Arabidopsis thaliana: one gene and its partner. The protein of the gene in region 2 binds, or shares a complex with, the protein of the main gene of each other region. Each region holds a gene or a part of one and is shown on either strand. Other genes may lie near its edges.

What was found. Proteins that work in one complex are often made in the same cells at the same time.
Region 1: NRPB7 (region 2) and NRPB4 share a complex: the UniProt entries of both Arabidopsis thaliana proteins name them as parts of the RNA polymerase II complex.

The regions. Positions count from the first base shown.
Region 1 is NC_003076.8:3,094,103-3,097,854, reverse strand, and holds NRPB4 (RNA polymerase II, Rpb4, core protein), read right to left. Parts: upstream 1,673-3,752; 5' UTR 1,580-1,672; coding exon 1,531-1,579; intron 1,353-1,530; coding exon 1,244-1,352; intron 1,104-1,243; coding exon 1,026-1,103; intron 878-1,025; coding exon 844-877; intron 749-843; coding exon 680-748; intron 563-679; coding exon 485-562; 3' UTR 213-484; downstream 1-212. Other genes in the region: ABCF2 (ABC transporter family protein), read left to right, coding at 12-212; AT5G09910 (Ras-related small GTP-binding family protein), read right to left, coding at 2,923-3,109, 3,184-3,311, 3,403-3,456, 3,539-3,752. UniProt on the Arabidopsis thaliana protein: DNA-dependent RNA polymerase catalyzes the transcription of DNA into RNA using the four ribonucleoside triphosphates as substrates. Second largest component of RNA polymerase II which synthesizes mRNA precursors and many functional non-coding RNAs.
Region 2 is NC_003076.8:23,881,846-23,885,597, reverse strand, and holds NRPB7 (DNA-directed RNA polymerase II), read right to left. Parts: upstream 2,243-3,752; 5' UTR 2,100-2,242; coding exon 1,984-2,099; intron 1,409-1,983; coding exon 1,243-1,408; intron 1,158-1,242; coding exon 1,107-1,157; intron 1,008-1,106; coding exon 942-1,007; intron 849-941; coding exon 780-848; intron 685-779; coding exon 622-684; 3' UTR 293-621; downstream 1-292. Other genes in the region: AT5G59170 (Proline-rich extensin-like family protein), read right to left, coding at 2,687-3,553. UniProt on the Arabidopsis thaliana protein: DNA-dependent RNA polymerase catalyzes the transcription of DNA into RNA using the four ribonucleoside triphosphates as substrates. Component of RNA polymerase II which synthesizes mRNA precursors and many functional non-coding RNAs.

The DNA.
Region 1 (3,752 bases), about 21 Mb from region 2:
CTGTTTCTCAGTATTTCCTGGAGAAGAATGTTGAAGCTAGAGCAAGGGAGCTGGAGAGGGAAGCAGAATTGGAAGAAAAAGCTCCAAAAGTGAAAGCAAAGTCAAAGATGTCAAAGGCTGAGAGAGAAGCACGGAAGAAGCAAAAGATGAAAGCGTTTCAAGCTTCCAAAAAGAAGTCAAAGTCCAGCAAAAATGCCAAGAGATGGAATTAAAGCTTCACAGTTCACACATAGCTGCTTTAGGTGTAGTATGTATATAGTGTCATCCCTTACTTGATTTAGTGAAAAAGAGATGGTATATTTCATTAAAAGCTTGGATCATCCGTTGTAAATTACATTCATTTAACATGAAGGTATCATTCCAGAAATTCTAGGCATTAAAGCTTTATAATTTCAGACGTGGCGAATTAACTCCAGATCAGCTAGAAGGCAAGTAAAGCATCCTGCTAAATGTTCAGAATCTTAGATCTTGAGAATCTTCTGCACTACTCGAATCTCTTGACAAGTGAGAGATCATTGAGCATCTTCTCAATAGCTTCATCATCATGAGCTCTTCCTTTTGTCTACACAAAAGAGAAGCTTACATCATCTCAAAAGTCCACTTACATAACAATACAATTTGTCCTTTTGAGGTTATCTTATTATCTCCACTGAATAGAAAAAGTAGAATCTTTATTTACCTTAAGAGAAGGAACCATTGCCACTGCTTCTTCAACAGTTTCAGGACAGAGATTGCCAAGAACACATAGCTGTTCAATAATGAACAATGCAATGTTTTAAGTCTTCTACCGAAACGACTTAATTGATAAACAAAAATCCAATCTCAAGAGATTTAACATTGTACCTCAAACTCAGTGAGTTGATGTCTGCTTAGTATTCTGCAAAAGTTGAGTTAAGGAATAGCATATTCTCACAAAACTATAGAATTAAACCAGTGACTGTAAAATCTCACTCATCAAGAAGGAAGCATGTCAAAGCAACGATTACTTAAAAACTTTGAATCAAACTAATTCAGAAAAAGGATACTCTCGAACTTGTCTAACAGCATCTGGATTCTTGTAGCGGCTGAATCGCTTCACATATTGCAAGGACTTCTCAAACACTCTGCAAGGAGCAAACATAACTTCTTCAACAATATTCAACATTGATTCACTAACCTAGAAGTAACATATAAAACTGACTAAATTCTTCAATTCATGATGGCTAATATACAATGAATCTCTATGAAACACAATTATACTTACTGAGAAACTTGATTCATAGGATCCTCTGAGATTTGCTGAAGCTGTTCAAACTTGTGCTCAAGAATCAAAGAGACTTCACAGTTCATTAAGCACTTTGCCTTCAAAAACTCTTTTGTCAAAGAGAATAAAACCCATCAATTTCGATGATAAATCTCAAATAATTAAGGGATTTTCGATACAGTTAAGCTCAATTAAATCGTATTGAATTAAGATCAATTCGATGAGGCAAAGAAACCCTAATTTTGAGGTACACAGCGGGGGATATGGCGAAGAGAATAGAGAAGTACCATCTCCGATCTTGAGTTCGGCGGCGTTCTCTTCTTCTTCTCCGGACATGGTGATTACCAAGGAGCGAAATCGAACCCTAAAGTTTTTTGGTTCTGCCTCTTTTTTTTTTTTTTCCGTCTTAACAACGAAAGTGATGAATATGAGACAAAACAAAAGCTTTGACCGGTTATATATAAAAAAAAAGAAGCAAACTCTATAATTAAAAAAGGAAAATCCAAGGAGGTTAATTAGATTTTTTTTGGGGAAGAGAGGTTAATTAGATAAATGTTACTATGTTAGTAATAGAGAAAAATTGAAATAAACCGAATAATAATCATCAAGTTTGAATAGGCAATGATTTTGATAAAGTTGGTATAAATTTTTGATTTAATAGCAAAAAAAGATCAAAATTGTTTACTACAATCATATATTCTGCAAGAAATTGAATATCATCATAACAGGATTAATTAGAAATATATTTATAATTGATGATAAATAGAGAAGAACAACAAAATTTATCATAATATAATTTGATTAAAAAAAACCCAAGTTATTTTATGATTTAACATAAATTGAGTAGTAACATAGAATTTGGAAAAATATTTGAAAAGCACAAACTGAATAACATGTGATATTAAGAACAAAACAAAATCTTCTAAAACCCACGACAAATTCTTTTCTTAATGGGTATACTACGCCTTTCTGCTTCTTCCCGACCAATCTTGCAACGAGGACAATCGCAATGCCCCTCTCGAATTTCACCTTCTTCAATCCCATCATCATTCTCTGCTTCACTCCTTGTTCTTTTTCTTGCGACTGTTTCCGGATTTTCGTTACCTTGCAGTTCTTGGATCTCTGTTTTCATAAGTGCGTTGAACATTTGAGAAAGAACCACGTCTCCTTGAAACAGATTTTGAAGAGACTTTATGAGTTCATCTCCTTGTATATGCCGGGACCTAAATTGTTTCATCAACCCCATGTATTCCTTGAGTTTCGCTTCACTTAGTCTTTCTTTGATGAACTCCGCTATATACAAAAACCAATGCTTACATACGGCTTCACTCTCAATCTTTGTTGTCTTCATCGTTTGGATACAACACTTTGTTTTTTTTCTTCTTCTTTGTCTTACAATTATGATTCGAGTGTATTTATAAGGAACTGAGTTGTTTACAATCCGATTTAGTTTGGGATTCTAAATTCTAACTGATCAAGCTTATACTTACCAACTTAAAAAAAAAAAAAAAAAAAACTTATCAAGTTTTTTTCACATGATTAAGATAATTATCACACGAATCATGTATTATTTAGAAAAAAAGAATACTTAGATTATGTTTGGAGTGTTGACAAATAAAAGAAGATAATGTTTGGAAGATTACAGGAAAATAATGTGAGATTTGATCTGTGTTTTACTTTCAGACGTTAATATCCATCCGCTTAGACCTGCCATTACCATTGCTGGTTTCCTCTACACTGGAAAGAGAGAATCTCGGAATAGCGTAATTGTAACGGTCAGGTGGTTGCTGCGGATAGAGTGTAGGAGACTGCATGAGATTGTGTTGCGGTAATGTGTTATATTTGTAAGCATCTCCTTCCCTTAGGCTGCAAAATTCAAAAGACCAAAACCCGATAAAGAAAAGAAATCCGATTTTTTTTAGGATGATAAATATATATACCTTGTTCTTTTATAGAACTGATCTTCATCACTTGTGCCCTCATCTAACCGCTGGGAAGGTGCATGGGAAAGAGACCATGCTGAAGAAGGCGACGGTAGTTCGTCTGAGAAATATCTTCTTCTTATCAACTGAAAACGAAAAACGTTCATTAGGTTGAAGAGAAAGAGAGAGAGGGAGAGAGCTATTGTAAAACATGGCAAGGTCAGAAATGACACCAACCATATGGAAAATTTTGGTCAGAGCTTCTTTGTCATATCTAGCTTCCTTGGCAGCCTGTGCATAATTTTACCAAAATTATATGACATACCGCATAACACTAAATTCAAATAAAGCAAGTAATTTAGTCTGTGGTTACCATTATGAGACCAACATTGCTAGGGAAGCTCTCAGAGAGAGGAAGTTCATCACTATGGGGAAGCAGACCCTGCTTCTCAACCCAATGACGAGCTGCATCAACAAGATTGCCACTGCTTCCATTTGTTCCTCCTTTGGCAGCAATATCAGCTTTGTTTCCAATAACGATGTATGGGACGGGAAGACCACCAGGCCCACCAGAAGAAAGGGGAGCT
Region 2 (3,752 bases):
ATGTGTTATTGAATAGATTGCATACTCATCATTGTTATGAAACTATATGGAAATTTATTTGAAAAAAGCGTTTTCAAATTCATTGAATGTGTTAAAATTCAGAAAACTTTCAATGAATTTAATTAGTACATTTTGGTCAATATATCATACAATTAGATATTTTACTCGATAGTCAAAGAGGTCTTACCAAAAACCAAATCCTATAAGGAAAGTTGATGAATGAGAGAAGCAATTGATGACTTTTAACATGTTTTCTTAGATTTATCAAATATTTGATAAACAGAACCACAACGTATGAAACAAGAGTTTCAATATCTTCCACAACATATGAAACAATATAACTAACAATCAATGAAACATCCATTCAATTTCAAATTATACAATTTTCATTGAGACATGTAGAATTTGATCCACTACTCGGTACTATATTGTTCTCAAAATGACAACAGTTTTGATCAAATACGAAGTTCACTAAACTTGCATATAAGTTAAATCCAACAAGCGTGGTTCCAATCTTTCGGATTAAATAGATCCAAAACTTCAACTATAATACAACTTTATCACAAGACAGCATTCTCTGTGAAAGAAAGAAGACCAAAATTGAAATCTGCTTGAAACTTTTTATGCCGCTGCAGGGTCGTTTATGACTCCCAAAAAATCGTCTTTGATGGTACCCACACAAAACTGCAAAATCAAAAAACAAATGTGTAAATTGATAAGAATAATCTAAAAACTATAAGTTGGATTGTGACTAGAGTTATGGAGGAGATGGTGCATACAATCGCAGTGGCATCAACTCTTGTTCCAATAATCTTTAGTCTCACTTCACACTCCTTCTGGATCTTAACCTGCAAGAGAAGCATTGGAAAAATGAGTTCCTTGAAGATAGATGAAACACATATAATACTGTTGGGAAATAAGAACTAGAGAAAGAAACACACTGATCCATCTGATGTGGTATAGTTAGGCATGTCTCCAGCTTGAAACTCCATATCATCTGGAATCAACTGTGGTGATAAAAGAGAGGAGAACAAGAGTAAGTACATAACACCTAGAATCAAAAATGAACTCGAGGTCAAATTCATGATGGAAGATCATAAGCTTACATGCTTAGACACAAAAATCTGAACAGGGCCAGCTTCAGCGAAGAATCCCATCTGTGATAATATTAGGAAAATCCATAAGGTTGATTTGTCACTAAAGACATTTGACTAAAAAAATAAGACTATATAGATACATTACCTTATTGACCAAAGTGACAACAGCTTCCAAAATCTCGCCTTTGAAAGGTCTGAAAACGACGCATTGGTATTTAACTGGAAAGGTGACAAAACCAGTCCCATCTCTGATCAAACCCTTTCCTATTGTATCTATTCCAGTTATCGCCACTACAAATCCATGTCGGCCACTGTCCATACCACAAAACGAAAAGAGCAAATATTGATAAGTATCAATATGACATTGCAATGATGAAACTTCACATCTTAAACCTAAAGCAAATACAAAAAGCTAGAGGCCTCAAAATACAAATCTCTGTCACAAGCAATGGATTAAGCGAACTATACTAAAGAACAAAGTTTTAGACTTGAGTATCAAATACAAAACAAGATACTGGATCTGAATGATTTGCAATCAGGCATCTAAGTGAGCTGGATGAAGTCATATCTTAATCCTAAGAAAGCTAAAGGCTTCAAAGCAAATCCCTTTGGAAAAAAATTCTGCTAAAAATCAGACTTTAGTCACAAGCAGCAGAGAAAGACTACAATTTAGTTAAAAGAACGATCTTTATTCGAATTTAATCCACTCTAATCCCTAAAACCTAACAAATTGAACTAGACGGAGATTAGGGTTCGAAAAAATATGCAACTTTTTCGAAGTTGTCTTAAGGAAAACGAATCCGAATTGAGAATTGAGGAAAAGGGTTTGCGATTAAAGCATCCGAAATTGGTGATTTTCTACTAGAAGTGAATAGAGAAAGAAAACCTGCAAGTGCCTTCGACATCTTTCATGAGCTTAGATACGAGGTTTTCTTTTAGGTTACGACCAAAGAAACGAGGATGCAACTGCATGTTCCGCTCCAATACTATGTGGAAAAACATCTCGACTTCTCTCTCTCTGATTCTCTCTCTCTGCCTCTGGGACTTTGTTAATGTCTTATTGAGAGCAAATTATGTTTTGAGTTCGACCGGAATCAAACAAATCTCTCTGTTTATAAAAGATGCCCAATGGTAGTTCTCTGTCAGCCGTCAGATCTAAAAAGTATGAACGGTCCAGATTGCTTATTAAATTTTCCTTTTTTTTTGTTTTCCTTTTCCCTTGAGACTTGTTTTTTTTTCCTTGACCAATTACGTTTTAATTTTGTTTTTTTGACGCACTAAATTATTTAAGTGAAATTATAACAACGTACAAAACTTTGTTGAATCAAGTTTATTCATTTAGTACAATATCTATTTTTTTTTTACTTTACTTGATTTTAGAAAATATATTTTATTTATTTATGAAACAGCTTGTTCTTGAGCTTGCACTCTCCTATTTAACAAATTCAAAACAGAACAGTTTATTCTTTATTTGATGCATCATAACAGAAAGTCATAAGAAAAAGAAAGAACATAACAGAAAGAACAGAACAGTTTTTTAACTAGACATATACTTATAGACAAACACGTCCTTGTTTGGTTTTGAGTTACTATGGATCAGCCGGAGGATATTTCTTATATGGCGGCGACGGATACTCAACCGGTGGAGGATATTTCTTTTTCGGAGGCCAAGGGTAATGTTCAGGCGGAGGAGGACATTCTTTCGGAGGAGGATAAGTTTTGATCGGCGGATGAGGGTAAGTCTTGTACGGAGGCGGTGGATACTTCACAGGGGGATGAGGATAAGTCTTGATCGGTGGTGGATACTCTTCTGGCGGAGGATACTTCTTAATTGGCGGAGGATACTTCTTGATCGGCGGTGGATACTGTTCTGGCGGAGGATACTTCTTGATCGGGGGTGGATACTTTTCTGGCGGAGGATACTTTTTAATCGGTGGTGGATACTGTTCTTGCGGAGGATACTTTTTTATCGGCGGTGGATAATGTTCTGGCGGAGGATACTTCTTGATCGGTGGTGGATACTGTTCTGGCGGAGGATACTTCTTGAAAGGCGGTGAATACTGTTCTGGTGGAGGATACTTCTTAATCGGCGGTGGATACTGTTCTGGTGGAGGATACTTCTTAATCGGCGGTGGATACTGTTCTGGTGGAGGATACTTCACCGGCGGATGAGGGTAAGTCTTGATCGGTGGTGGATACTTCACCGGTGGATGCTCGTATGGTGGCGGTGGATACTTCTTGATCGGTGGTGGATACTGCACCGGTGGAGGATATTTCTCGATTGGCGGCGGTTTAGGTGGAGAATATGGAAATTTTGGTCCCCATTTAAACGGCGGCCAATGATGAAACCAATTAGGAACAGAGTTTGTAGAAGCAGAGGAGGCCAAACACAAACTAAAAATGCTTCCTTGTGTTACTAACACTGCGAGAGCAAAAGTAGCTAGACAAGACTTCATTTTTCTTGTTGTGAATAGCAGCAAGTTAAAATACGGGTTTTAAAGTAAACAGAGGACTTAAGACTCTATACAACACATTGCAGTGACATTGCCACATTGCAGCAAACCTCACAGCTGGTTTTAAAACCCTAAATCCAGGAAAGTAAACTGACAGAAGCTTTTGTATCCATGCACGTCCAAAGTTTGACAGTTTCATATG